Stegostoma tigrinum: one gene and its partner. The protein of the gene in region 1 binds, or shares a complex with, the protein of each later gene. Links are inferred from orthologs where the notes say so. Each region holds a gene or a part of one and is shown on either strand. Other genes may lie near its edges.

Region 1 (6,975 bases):
CATGGCTCTGTATTTTCTCTAACAGCCTACCATGTGGAACCTTATCAAAGGCTTTACTGAAGTCCACGCACACCACGTCAACTGCCCTTCCCACATCCACATGCTTGGCCACCTTCTCAAAAAGCTCAATGAGGTTAGTGAGACATGACCTGCCGTTGACGAATCCATGCTGACTATCTCCAATCAAATTGTTGCTTGCTAGATGATGATAAATCCTATCTCTTATAATCCTTTCCAAAACTTTTCCTATAACTTTGCCTCCCTGGTGCCAGGGAGGTGAGCGTTGATGCAGGTGAGGCAGTAGCAAGAGGTAGACCAGCTAGTGGAAAGGATTTTCCTGGGAAGGAACCAAGGGATCGGTTCAAGTGTGTTTGCTTTAATGCAAGGAGTATCAGGAATAAAAGTGATGAACTTAGAGCATGGATCAGTACCTGGTGCTATGATGTTGTGGCCATAACAGAGGCATGGGTTTCTCATGGGCAGGAATGGTTGCTGGATGTTCCAGGGTTTAGAACATTTAAAAAGAATAGGGAGGGGGGAAAAAGAGGAGGGGGTGTAGCACTACTAATCAGAGAGGGTATCACAGCTACAGAAGCTTCCTTTGTCGAGGAAGATCTGCCTACTGAGTCAGTATGGGTGGAAATTAGGAACAGCAAGGGAGTAGACACCTCGTTAGGGGTTTACTACAGGCCCCCCAATAGCAGCAGGGAGATTGAAGAAAGCATAGGTCGACAGATTTTGGAAAAGTGTGCACGCAGTAGGGTTGTTGTAATGGGTGACTTTAACTTTCCTAATATTGATTGGAACCTCCTTCGAGCAGAAGATTTGAATGGAGCTGTTTTTGTAAGGTGTGTTCAGGAGGGTTTCCTAACACAGTACGTTGACAGGCCGACGAGGGGAGAGGCCATTCTAGACTTGGTGCTCAGAAACGAGCCGGGGCAGGTATCAGATCTTGTGGTGGGAGAGCATTTTGGTGATAGTGACCATAACTGCCTCACATTCTACATAGCTATGGAGAAGGAGAGGATTAGGCAGAATGGGAGGATATTTAATTGGGGAAGAGGAAACTATGATGCGATTAGACATGAGTTAGGAAGCATGGACTGGGAGCAGTTGTTCCATGGTAAGGGAACTATAGACATGTGGAGACGGTTTAAGGAACAGTTGTTGGGAGTGATGAGTAAATATGTCCCTCTGAGACAGGCAAGAAGGGGTAAGATTAAGGAACCTTGGATGACGAGAGTGGTGGAGCTTCTAGTGAAAAGGAAGAAGGTAGCTTACATAAGGTGGAGGAAGCTAGGGTCAAGTTCAGCTAGAGAGGATTACATGCAGGCAAGGAAGGAGCTCAAAAATGGTCTGAGGAGAGCCAGGAGGGGGCACGAGAAAGGCTTGGCAGAAGGAATCCGGGAAAACACAAAGGCATTTTACACTTACGTGAGGAATAAGAGAATGGTCAAAGAAAGAGTAGGGCCGATCAGAGATAGCATAGGGAACTTGTGTGTGGAGCCTGAGGAGGTAGGGGAAGCCCTAAATGAGTTTTTTGCTTCTGTCTTTACGAAAGAAACGAACTTTGTAGTGAATGAAACCTTTGAAGAGCAGGTGTGCATGCTGGAATGGATAGAGATAGAGGAAGCTGATGTGCTGAAAATTTTGTCAAACATTAAGATTGACAAGTCGCCAGGCCCGGATCAGATTTGTCCTCGGCTGCTTTGGGAAGCGAGAAATGCAATTGCTTCGCCACTTGCGAAGATCTTTGCATCCTCGCTCTCCACTGGAGTCGTACCTGGGAACTGGAGAGAGGCAAATGTAATTCCTCTCTTCAAGAAAGGAAATAGGGAAATCCCCGGCAATTATAGACCGGTAAGTCTCACGTCTGTCGTCTGCAACGTGTTAGAAAGGATTCTGAGGGATAAGATTTATGACCATCTGGAAGAGCATGGCTTGATCAAATACAGTCAACACGGCTTTGTGAGGGGTAGGTCATGCCTTACAAACCTTATCGAGTTTTTTGAGGATGTGACTAGAAAGGTTGATGAGGGTCGAGCTGTGGATGTGGTGTATATGGACTTCAGTAAGGCATTTGATAAGGTTCCCCATGGTAGGCTCATTCAGAAGGTCAGGAGGAATGGGATACAGGGGAACTTAGCTGCTTGGATACAGAATTGGCTGGCCAACAGAAGACAGCGAGTGGTAGTAGAAGGAAAATATTCTGCGTGGAAGTCAGTGGTGAGTGGAGTTCCACAGGGCTCTGTCCTTGGGCCTCCACTGTTTGTAATTTTTATTAATGACTTGGACGAGGGAATTGAAGGATGGGTCAGCAAGTTTGCAGACGACACAAAGGTCGGAGGTGTCGTTGACAGTGTAGAGGGCTGTTGTAGGCTGCAGCGGGATATTGACAGGATGCAGAGATGGGCTGAGAGGTGGCAGATGGAGTTCAACCTGGATAAATGCGAGGTGATGCATTTTGGAAGGTCGAATTTGAAAGCTGAGTACAGGATTAAGGATAGGATTCTTGGCAGCGTGGAGGAACAGAGGGATCTTGGTGTGCAGATACATAGATCCCTTAAAATGGCCACCCAAGTGGACAGGGTTGTTAAGAAAGCATATGGTGTTTTGGCTTTCATTAACAGGGGGATTGAGTTTAAGAGTCGTGAGATCTTGTTGCAGCTCTATAAAACTTTGGTTAGACCGCACTTGGAATACTGCGTCCAGTTCTGGTCGCCGTATTATAGGAAAGATGTGGATGCTTTGGAGAGGGTTCAGAGGAGGTTTACCAGGATGCTGCCTGGACTGGAGGGCTTATCTTATGAAGAGAGGTTGACTGAGCTCGGTCTCTTTTCATTGGAGAAAAGGAGGAGGAGGGGACCTAATTGAGGTATACAAGATAATGAGAGGCATAGATAGAGTTGATAGCCAGAGACTATTTCCCAGGGCAGAAATGGCTAGCACGAGGGGTCATAGTTTTAAGCTGGTTGGTGGAAAGTATAGAGGGGATGTCAGAGGCAGGTTCTTTACGCAGAGAGTTGTGAGAGCATGGAATGCGTTGCCAGCAGCAGTTGTGGAAGCAAGGTCATTGGGGTCATTTAAGAGACTGCTGGACATGTATATGGTCACAGAAATTTGAGGGTGCATACATGAGGATCAATGGTCGGCACAACATTGTGGGCTGAAGGGCCTGTTCTGTGCTGTACTGTTCAATGTTCTATGTTCTATGTTCTAACAGACATAAGGCTCACCGGCTCATTTGACTGTGGCTCATTTATTGGCTGTCTCAAACTGTAAGTGGTGTTTTTAAAGGATCATGACGTGAGTGACGGTTATTTAAACATCTGCAAGAGCTGTGATTAATTGGAGGAGGTTGTATCTTTTAGAACAAAAGCAAATGCCTGGCTGGTCACTTCACTTTCTCCAAAGGAACATCTAATTTATTTTAGATTTCCAGCAGCTGCTGTAGTTTGCCTTTATTACACAATTTTTGTTCAGTTTTTTAAATTGTTTGACAAAGACAGCAGTGCTAAGTAAATTTGTGATCAGAGATAATGGGAACTGCAGATGCTGAAGAATCCAAGATAACAACGTGTGGAGCTGGATGAACACAGCAGGCCAAGCAGCATCTTAGGAGCACAAAAGCTGACGTTTCAGCCCTAGAACTTTTCTGATGAAGGGTTTCGGCCCGAAATGTCAGCTTTTGTGCTCCTAAGATGCTGCTTGGCATGCTATATTCATCCAGCTCCACACTTTGTCATTCCTTAATTAAATGTGTTCCCGGAATCAGCTGATTATTGGTGAGCACCACGTGATTGGAGTTGGTGACCATATCAACGATGGCAGCCGCCTTCTTGAACTGGCTTGCGTAAGTGCGCATGCGTATGTTTCTGATTATTCCATTTTTCATGCAGTCAGCTGTTATTTGGTAACAAGATGGCGATCGGGCAGCAGTGGGTTCTAGTGGAAATGGTTCAGGCTTTTTATGAGGTAAGAGAACTGTTCCGTAAAATAATTGTGAAAGTTTCACAGACTGTGGAGAACACGTAGTTCGTAATACATCTCAGAGATGAAAAGCTGGAGGGTATTGTGAACTGGTTTTATATTGAGCTAATATTGCCAAAAGGAAGTTTTGGAAATGTGCTGAATTTTATTGATAGTTGAACGAACCCGGTTTTCCAGTTATGCCTCGTTATGTCCAGAGTGACTACTTATGTTGGAACGTGAATTAGGAAGGATTTGTGGGTGAATTGTTTCAAAGTTAGATTTCTCAGTCTAGTCAAGTGGAACTGAAAGAGGTTCTAGCCAAGGCTGAGAATTGAAATTAAAATGATTCGAAATTGCATTTGATAATGTCCATGGTGACCCATTTATTACCCATTTCAAATTGCTCTGAAGAAGGAGGCAGTAAGCAACCTTTTTATCCTCGAAACCAATCAGGTTGAAAGCCTGTAGGAGGAAATTTGACCTTGCCCAATTTAGCCTTTATGGCTGGTCGAGATACAAATGGATTTTGCTCTTGATTATGATTTTTAATAAGGCCTTTGAAGCGCTTCCAGTTCTTTCTAAAAAGTGACTTGTAATTGTCATCATTTTAGATCACTTTTAGAAGGACAATTTATTGTTGGTTTGCCAACAATAAATGAATCACGAGTTCTTTGATTTAACACTTCTAAACATAAATTGCTTAATATTTATAAACCTGATGTGTTAAGTATTCAATAGGTTAAAATTTGTACTAGATAATTTGGTTAGCTGATGCTCAAAATATATTTTCATGTTAAGGGTTGTAGAAAACCTTTTCACTTTTTTTGAAGATTAGCTGTTCAGACTTATTTTTGAATTGTGGGTATCTTGTGCAAGGCCAGCATTTATTGCCCATCTCAACTTGCTCTAAAGAAGATGAGATGAGCAATCTTTTTGACTGCAAGTAATGTGGTGCAGATGCATTTCCAGGTCTGTTTTCTGCAGCAGTTTGATACAAGTGAGTTTCCGAGGTCAGTTGATCACTATAGTTTAAAAAGTGACAGTCGCATATAAGCTAGACTAATGATAGTGGAATTTCTTATGTAAAGATCATAAATGAAGTAATTTGAAATTGAGATTAGCACGTTTTTATTGGGCAGTGTTGTTAAAAAGATTTAGTTCTATTCCTATGTTGAGTAGCAGCAATTAATGCTTTGTCCTGGACAACATCACCAATGATATTGAATATTTAAGGCTACAATTGGCCTCTTTTGCTTATTACAATGCAGTAGTGGTGGGACTGGGTTTGGCTATGATAATATACATACTATATCAGAATAGAGTAGAATCCCTACAGTGTGGAAACAGGCCCAACAAGTCCATGCTGATCCTCGGAGCATCTGACCCAGTCTATAATCCACCTAATCTACACATCCCTAAATACTACGGGCATGTTAGCATGCACGTCTTTGGACTGTGGGAGGAAACCGGCGCATCCGGACAAAACCCACGCAGACCTCAGGGAGAATGTGCGAACTCCACACAGTCGTCCGAGGGTACACTTGAATCTGGGCCTCTGGCACTGTGAGGCAACAGTGCTAACTACTGAGGCACTGTGCCACCCATTACACATTCAAATCTAGGCATGCTATTGCGTGAGCAATAAAAATAAGCTTTGACTCAAGTTTCATTAAAAATTAACTTGAAATGCAGGCCTCACTGACAAAACCATTTTTTCCCCAAATGTCCTGATGTATATTTGCTCTTGGAAAGTAACCAGAGCTGCTTTTATGAACAAGCAGAACATTTGTGGTGATAACAAAATGTGGAGCTGGATGAACACAGCTCATCTGATGCTGCTTGGCCTGCTGTGTTCCTCCAGCTCCACACTTTTTGTTATCTTGGATTCTCCAGCATCTGCAGTTCCCATTATCACAGAACATTTGTGGTGGGTAGGTACTGTGTGAGTACTGAACATGAGAGTACTGTGGTACTCCCACAATACTGTCTGTTAGGAGATTCAGGGAGCCTGTGATGATTGTTGACATGTTCACAAGATTGGGTATTGCAATAAAATTATCCTCAACTGAGTAATTTATTTACTTTTAGCGGAAAACAATGACCACCTCGGTAATGATTTCAGAACAGGGAAAGTGAGTAGAGTGTCTGATTAGTTTTTATACATGCGAATTAAGTAACTTTGTAGATTGCTGCAATCTACAATCTGGAAAATGTTTTTCTTTTGAAAGAGCAAGGGCAATATTTTAATTAACTCCATTACTAACCTTTCTTGTCCTCCTCTCATCTTAATTGCATAAAAATATGCATATTTAGAACACACAGCCCCTTGTGCTTACCTCAGTTCAGTAAGATCATACCTAATCCAAAAGTATGATGCTCCTATTTACGGAAAACATTTTTAACCCCTTGCTTATCAAGAATCTGTCTCTGTCTTTAAAGACATTCAAAACCTTTGCTTTCACTTCTCTTTGAGGAAGAAAGTCCCAAAGAAAGACCGTGTAAGGAATAGTCTTATCAGTGTCTTAAATGGTTGACTTAATTTTTAAAATGGCCCCCAGTTCTAGATTCTTTCTCAAGAAGTGCCATTCTATAAGATGTAACACTTCCTTAATGCTTATTTCAGTTCTCTGTAATATCAAGACAATTCAATTATTTAAGTTTTTCTTTAGCTGATTGATATCACCAACTTTTCATCAAGTTTATTTATACTGAGTGTTACAAACTGTCCCGATCATTCAGTTAAAAGCAATCTGCTGTGGATGTTGGAAATCTGAAATTGCTGGATAAACTCAGCAGTTGGACCATAAGAGCTTAAGTTATAAGAATAGCTTTAGCTCATTCTCCCCATTGAGTCTGCTGTGCCATTTAAACATGGCTTCTGTTTCTCAGTCAGATCTCTTCTGCTTTCTTCCAATAACCCTTAATCCCCTTGCTAACAGAGAATCTATCTGTCTCTGTCTTAATGGCTTTCACAGTTCACTGCTGCAGTGAGCTCTACGGATG
Region 2 (7,910 bases), on another chromosome or scaffold:
CCTTTCCATCCCTAAAATAAATGTACCTGAATTATGGTCACTCTATCCAAAGTGCTCACCTATCACTAAATCAAACACCTGGCCTGGTTCATTACCAAGTCCTAGATCTAGTGTGGCCTCCCCTCTTGTTGCCCTTCGACATACTGTGTCAGGAAATTGTCCTGCACATATTGGACAAACACTGACCCATCTGACGTACTAGAGTTATAGCATTTCCAGTCAATGTTGGGGAAGTTAAAGTCTCCCATAATGACCTTCCTGTTCCTTTCACTCCTGCCCAGAATCGTTTTGTCAATCCCTCCTCCACATCCCTAGAACTTCGTGGAGGCCTATAAAAAAACTCCAGGCAGTGTGACCTCTCCCCTCCTGTTTCTGACCTCAGCCCATACCACCTCAGCAACTCCTGACATGAAAACAAAGTGTGTAGCTGGATGAACACAGCAGGCCAAGCAGCATCTCAGGAGCACAAAAGCTGGCGTTTCGGGCCTAGACCCTTCATCAGAGAGGGGGAGGCGGACTGAAGATGGAAAGAGGAGAAGATAGGTGGGGAGGGGATAGGTCAGTCCAGGGAGGACGGACAGGTCAAGGAGGCGGGATGAGGTTGGTAGGTGGGAAATGGAGGTGTGGCTTGAGGTGGGAGGAGGGGATAAGTGAGAGGAAGAACAGGTTAGGGAGGTGGGAACGAACTGGGTTTGGTGATGCAGTGGGGGGAGGGGATGAGCTGGGCTGGTTGTATGATGCAGCGGGGGAGGGGGAGATTTTGAAGCTTCTGAAGTCCACATTGATACCATTGGGCTGCAGGGTTCCCAAGCGGAATATGAGTTGCTGTTCCTGCAACCTTCGGGTGGCATCATTGTGGCACTGCAGGAGGCCCATGATGGACAAGTCATCTAAGGAATGGGAGGGGGAGTTAAAATGGTTCACGACTGCAGTTGTTTATTGCGAACCGAGCGGAGGTGTTCTGCAAAGCAGTCCCCAAGCCTCCGCTTGGTTTCCCCAATGTAGAGGAAGCCACAGCGGGTACAGTGGATACAGTATACTACATTGGCAGATGTGCAGGTGCCAGCCCAGCTTGTCCCCTCCACCCACTGCATCACCAAACCAGCCCAGCTCGTCCCCGCCTCCCTAACCTGTTCTTCTTCTCACCTATCCCCTCCTCCCCCTCAAGCCGCACCTCCATTTCTCACCTACCAACCTCATCCCGCCTCCTTGACCTGTCCGTCCTCCCTGGACTGGCCTATCCCCTCCCCACCTATACTCTCCTCTCCACCTATCTTCTCCTCTATCCATCTTCAGTCCGCCTCCCCATCCCCCTCTCTGATGAAGGGTCTAGGCCTGAAACTTCAGCTTTGGTGCTCCTGAGATGCTGTTTGGCCTGCTGTGTTCATCCAGCTCCACACTTTGTTATCTTGGATTCACCAGCATCTCTTGGTCTGTAGCCTTGTATTTAATAACACTTTGTGTGCATCCCATGTATTTATTTAAAATGTTGAGGGGTTCTTCCTGTTCCTGGGAATTATGAGAAAATGCTCCACTGTTTGGAGCTGCTCGTGGCATGAGGTTTCTGGCTGTAGGAGGCTAATCCCACCCCACCACCACCACGCCCCCAGGACATTGCAGAACTAGGTATTTTCCCAGGTGGCCTACTTAAATCTGGAATTGTATCTCCTCGTGTTGGTAGCACTGGTACCTCCTCATAAAAATACTGCCGACGCTGAAAATCTGAAAGAGAAATACAAACTGTTGGAGAAACTGAGCAAGTCCAGCAGCGAAGAGAGAAACAATGTTAATGTTTGTAGTACAATATAATTGTTCAGAATTGCTACTGGATTCAACATAAAACTGAGTTGCTCCAGCATTTTATGATTCTGATTGTAGCATTGGTTCCTTCCAGTCTTGACAACAAGTTCTTTGCCAAAGGTGACACTGGGTGCCTGTAGTTACCGAATCATCAGTGACTTTGTTTCCATTCTCAATGTTTGCTGATGGTCTGAAGATTAGGAGCCTCCAGAAGCTTTGTGCTACTATGGGATCAATAGTATTATTTTAACGAGACATTTCATCGGTACTCCTCTTTTGCTGGCGAGCTTTATAGAGGCTGATCCAAGAAAATCTGATCTCTGGGTTCCAAACTGTATTGCCTCCAGATAATTTGGATGAAGTCTGACGAAAACAGAAAATCATTCTATGAATTGAAAAAAGAATTTGAGTAATGTTGTTTTTTCCTTTGATAATATTTCATTCTTGTTTTCTTTCCATTAAATATAAAGGAGCATATGAATAGTGATTAAAACCTGTCTGGGTTGTCACTTTGAAACCATTGGTAGAATTGGAAACGAGCAATTTTCCAAATCATTTGAGCATGGACATCTCGATGATTAGATTCAAGTGCACAGCTTTTTATTTTCTTAAATGGAACTGTGTATTTTTGGTTCTAGCTGTGGAGGTAGAGTGAACAACCTAAGCTGCAGCAAACTAAGATCAGTAGCAGAGTAGGGACAGTGATGGTCTTTGGGTCATCCAGAGGTATCACTAAAGAGGGTACAGAATGCTTTGGGCATGAGGCAGATCACTCTGGATTTGCAGAAGATAGAGTGAGCACACCGGCATAAAAATGGCATGAAGCCACAGAGGCAGCAAAAGAGGAGGAAGCGTTTGTCATTGAGGGGATGTATGTAAAGATGTCTGAGGTAGCAAGTGGAAGTAGCTAAGAATTAGTCCATTGCTGACTATTGCAGCGGTTAAAATTAGGAATGTCGGCAGCAGAAGTTTAGGATGAAGCTTGAAAGGGTAAAATGGTAACAGTGCACATTGGTAACCCTAGAATGGAGCAAATATTGTCATTTTCTGCTTGAAGTAATATTCAAATATGTAGAAGATGAAGGTGGCTAATGCATTAATGTTGAGAAATTGTAAGTGCAGTAGAACCATTTGATGATCAGAGCACAGAATTGCGGTAATAAGAGTCAAACACAAATCTATAATAAATAGGGAGGTGTTGGCAGGTGAAATTTCTGCTGGATATGTAACCCAGAGATCAAGTTAATGTTTGAGAACCTCGGTTTAAGTCTCACCATAGCAGATGTGGAACTTGAAGTTGATAAAAAAATCTGGGGGGGATAAATGTCCAGTGAGGAACACGAAGCCATTGTTCATTTTGTAAAAATGCATCTGATCTCCTAATGAACAAAAACTGCCATTCATACCTGGTCTGGCCCATGTGTGACTCCAAAACCAGCAAGATAACGACAGGGTGAGTCGCTCCTGGCACCGGTGGTGGCATGGCGTGGGCTGCAAAGCCTGGAGTGGGACTCTGGCAGAGGCATGGCAAGAGCTGGAAAACCGAGTACGACTGCAACAGTGGAAAGAAAATTTGGACTCTAAAGTTATCATTCTTTTTTCCTTGTCTAATTCGAAGTTAATGTGAATGGTGCCATGTATGTACAGTGAAGGAACACACTTCTCACTATTTTTAGATTGAATACAATTAATAATTTGTGAAGAGGACCCAAAACAATGTGATTAACTCTTAGCTGCCCTCTTAATACAACTGAGTAGCTTTCTAGATCATTTTAACTCCTAAAAAGGCTCAAAAAGAAACTGAAGGAGCAGCACCTCATATTCTGCCTTGGGACCCTGCGACTCAATGATCTCCATGTGGCCATCACCAGTTTCAAAATCTCCCCACACCCAGCCTCTTCCCATGACCAACTCTCCCTCTCATCCCCACCTTAACCTGACACAACATGTCCATCTTCTCTTCCACCACTGCCTCACCTGCACTCACCTATCACCATCCCACTTATATTTCTCTATTTATTTCAGAGCTCTCTTTGATCTCCCCCATTTCTGAAGAAGGGTCCTGACCCGAAACATCAACTTTCCTGCTCCTTTGATGCTGCTTGGCCTGCTGTGCTCCTCCAGTTCCACACTGTGTTATCTCAAAAAGAAACTGGGTGGACCACATGGCATTGCCTGAGACATTAAAAAAGACAATGGCAAACTCAGCCCTCTCGCCTCTAAAAATCTTCCCCACCAATATCTGGGACCTAGTGCAAAAATTGGGAGAGTTGTCTCAGAACAGTCAAGCAACAGCCTGATATAGTCATACTAAGGGAATTATACCTTACATACAATATCCAAGAAAAAAAAACAGCATCACATTCCTGGGTATGTCCTGTCCTACCTAGTATAAACCTAGGAAAGGGGGTGGCACAGTGGTATATACCCAGGAGGAAGTCAGCCTGGGAGTCAACATTAACTGTGGCTACTGAGAAGTCTCATGGGATCAGATCAAACATGAGCATGTAAAACCCCTGCCCAATTACTACATACTGTCCTCCATTAGCTGATCAATCAACACTCTTCCAAGTGTTGTTCAATATGAAAGAAGCGATGAATTTGGCAAGGGTGTAGAAGGTACTCTGGATGGGTGATTTTAATGTCCATCACCAAGATTGGCTCAGCAGCACCATGACTGATCAAGTTGATTGAGTTTTAAAGATCGTAGTTGCTGGACTGGGTCTGTGGCAGATGGTGAGGGGTAACCATGCGTGACTTCATTCCCATCAATCTGCTGGCAGGAGATGAGTAACCTCTGCACAGTCCTTGTGGAGACGAAGTCCTACCTTCATATTGATGGTGCCTCCATCTATCACTTATTACCGCAACTATCACATGGACATACTATCACCGTGCTTTTTCTGATGAAGGAGCTAGGCCCGAAACGTCAGCTTTTGCGCTCCTCAGATGCTGCTTGGCCTGCTGTGTTCATCCAGCTTCGCACTTTGTTATCTTGGATTCGCCAGCATCTGCAGTTCCCATTACCACAGATCACCATCACACGCAGCTCAACTTTTACGTGGTGCTGCACCGGCTCTAACTGCAAGTATTCCTCCGGAGCGGAGGTGGCGCTGCCAGTGGTGGTGCACGGTGGAATAGGGCGGCTCCGGCTCCGCCGCTGTCGACGAGAAGGGGGTTGGCAACAGGACGGGGTCCTGGATAATTAATGTCCGGTAGGTTGGCTCCTGCTTGGCGGTTGGTGGTGACTCTGCAACGGGCTCCGGGGGCCCGGGTGAGAAGGTGGCGGCGTTTCCGGGCCGTGCCGTTTTCTTGGGCCCAGTGCGGGAGAACACAGGGATTTCCCCCTCCCCACCCCCACACCACCCCTTTGTCCCTCTCCCCCAGACACTGCCCGCACCCCCCGACACTGCTTTCCCTCCCCTCCCCCCCAACTCCCCCCGCACACACCCCTCCCCCAGACACTGCTCCCCCCACGCACCCCCTCCCCCAGACACTGCTTCCCCACCCCCGCACTCCCTCACCGCCTCCTCCAGACACTACTTTCCCCCGCAACCACCCCCCACCCCCAGTCACTACTTCCCTCCCCGCACGCTCTCCCAGATACTGCTCCCCCCGTTCCCCCCCCCCCAGACACTGACACTCTCACCCCCTGCACCCATCTCTCCCGCCCCCCCCCCAGATACTGACGCTCTCACCCCCCACACCCTTCCCCCTCCTGACACTGACCCCCACCCCCAGGCACTGCTCCCCCCCCCGCCCCCAGTGCCCCCAGGCACTGCTTTCCCCCCCAGTGCCCCCAGGCACTGCTTTCCCCCCCAGTGCCCCCAGGCACTGCTTTCCCCCCCCAGTGCCCCCAGGCACTGCTTTCCCCCCCCAGTGCCCCCAGGCACTGCTTTCCCCCCCCAGTGCCCCCAGGCACTGCTTCCCCCCCCAGTGCCCCCAGGCACTGCTTCCCCCCCCAGTGCCCCCAGGCACTGCTTCCCCCCCCAGTGCCCCCAGGCACTGCTTCCCCCCCCAGTGCCCCCAGGCACTGCTTCCCCCCCCAGTGCCCCCAGGCACTGCTTCCCCCCCCAGTGCCCCCAGGCACTGCTTCCCCCCCCAGTGCCCCCAGGCACTGCTTCCCCCCCCAGTGCCCCCAGGCACTGCTTCCCCCCCCAGTGCCCCCAGGCACTGCTTCCCCCCCCAGTGCCCCCAGGCACTGCTTCCCCCCCCAGTGCCCCCAGGCACTGCTTCCCCCCCCAGTGCCCCCAGGCACTGCTTCCCCCCCCAGTGCCCCCAGGCACTGCTTTCCCCCCCAGTGCCCCCAGGCACTGCTTTCCCCCCCAGTGCCCCCAGGCACTGCTTCCCCCCCAGTGCCCCCAGGCACTGCTTTCCCCCCCAGTGCCCCCAGGCACTGCTTTCCCCCCCAGTGCCCCCAGGCACTGCTTTCCCCCCCAGTGCCCCCAGGCACTGCTTTCCCCCCCAGTGCCCCCAGGCACTGCTTTCCCCCCCCGTGCCCCCAGGCACTGCTTTCCCCCCCCGTGCCCCCAGGCACTGCTTTCCCCCCCCGTGCCCCCAGGCACTGCTTTCCCCCCCCGTGCCCCCAGGCACTGCTTTCCCCCCCAGTGCCCCCAGGCACTGCTTTCCCCCCCAGTGCCCCCAGGCACTGCTTTCCCCCCCAGTGCCCCCAGGCACTGCTTTCCCCCCCAGTGCCCCCAGGCACTGCTTTCCCCCCCAGTGCCCCCAGGCACTGCTTTCCCCCCCAGTGCCCCCAGGCACTGCTTTCCCCCCCAGTGCCCCCAGGCACTGCTTTCCCCCCCAGTGCCCCCAGGCACTGCTTTCCCCCCCAGTGCCCCCAGGCACTGCTTTCCCCCCCAGTGCCCCCAGGCACTGCTTTCCCCCCCAGTGCCCCCAGGCACTGCTTTCCCCCCCAGTGCCCCCAGGCACTGCTTTCCCCCCCAGTGCCCCCAGGCACTGCTTTCCCCCCCAGTGCCCCCAGGCACTGCTTTCCCCCCCAGTGCCCCCAGGCACTGCTTTCCCCCCCAGTGCCCCCAGGCACTGCTTTCCCCCCCCAGTGCCCCCAGGCACTGCTTTCCCCCCCAGTGCCCCCAGGCACTGCTTTCCCCCCCCAGTGCCCCCAGGCACTGCTTCCCCCCCCAGTGCCCCCAGGGCCCCGCTTTCCCCCCCCCCCCAGTGCCCCGCTTTCCCCCCCCCGCCCCCAGTGCCCCGCTTTCCCCCCCCCCGCCCCCAGTGCCCCGCTTTCCCCCCCCCCGCCCCCAGTGCCCCGCTTTCCCCCCCCGCCCCCAGTGCCCCGCTTTCCCCCCCCCGCCCCCAGTGCCCCGCTTTCCCCCCCCGCCCCCAGTGCCCCGCTTTCCCCCCCCCGCCCCCAGTGCCCCGCTTTCCCCCCCCGCCCCCAGTGCCCCGCTTTCCCCCCCCCGCCCCCAGTGCCCCGCTTTCCCCCCCCGCCCCCAGTGCCCCGCTTTCCCCCCCCGCCCCCAGTGCCCCGCTTTCCCCCCCCGCCCCCAGTGCCCCGCTTTCCCCCCCTGCCCCCAGTGCCCCGCTTTCCCCCCCCGCCCCCAGTGCCCCGCTTTCCCCCCCCGCCCCCAGTGCCCCGCTTTCCCCCCCCCCGCCCCCAGTGCCCCGCTTTCCCCCCCCGCCCCCAGTGCCCCGCTTTCCCCCCCCGCCCCCAGTGCCCCGCTTTCCCCCCCCGCCCCCAGTGCCCCGCTTTCCCCCCCCCCCGCCCCCAGTGCCCCGCTTCCCCCCCCCCCGCCCCCAGTGCCCCGCTTCCCCCCCCCGCCCCCAGTGCCCCGCTTCCCCCCCCGCCCCCAGTGCCCCCAGGCACTGCTTTCTCCCCCCCCCCGCCCCCAGTGCCCCCAGGCACTGCTTTCTCCCCCCGGCCCCCAGGCACTGCTTTCTCCCCCCCCCCCCCGCCCCCAGTGCCCCCAGGCACTGCTTCTCCCCCCCCCCCCGCCCCCAGGCACTGCTTCCCCCCCCCCCAGTGCCTCCAGGCACTGCTTCTCCCCCCCCCCCCGCCCCCAGGCACTGCTTTCTCCCCCCCCCCCCCCGCCCCCAGGCACTGCTTCTCCTCCCCCCCCCCCAGTGCCCCCAGGCACAGCTTCTCCTCCCCC

Evidence for each region. The genes of interacting proteins can lie anywhere in the genome.
Region 2: sptlc1 (region 1) and sptssa share a complex: the UniProt entries of both Homo sapiens proteins name them as parts of the serine palmitoyltransferase (SPT) complex. The link is inferred for Stegostoma tigrinum from reciprocal best matches to the Homo sapiens genes SPTLC1 and SPTSSA.

What each region holds. Positions count from the first base shown.
Region 1 is NC_081356.1:51,368,151-51,375,125, forward strand, and holds the start of sptlc1 (serine palmitoyltransferase 1), read left to right. Parts: upstream 1-3,902; 5' UTR 3,903-3,921; coding exon 3,922-3,975; intron 3,976-6,975. UniProt on the Homo sapiens protein: Component of the serine palmitoyltransferase multisubunit enzyme (SPT) that catalyzes the initial and rate-limiting step in sphingolipid biosynthesis by condensing L-serine and activated acyl-CoA (most commonly palmitoyl-CoA) to form long-chain bases.
Region 2 is NC_081363.1:58,723,412-58,731,321, forward strand, and holds the start of sptssa (serine palmitoyltransferase small subunit A), read left to right. Parts: upstream 1-4,889; 5' UTR 4,890-5,015; intron 5,016-5,036; exon of another isoform or gene 5,037-5,074; intron 5,075-7,910. UniProt on the Homo sapiens protein: Component of the serine palmitoyltransferase multisubunit enzyme (SPT) that catalyzes the initial and rate-limiting step in sphingolipid biosynthesis by condensing L-serine and activated acyl-CoA (most commonly palmitoyl-CoA) to form long-chain bases.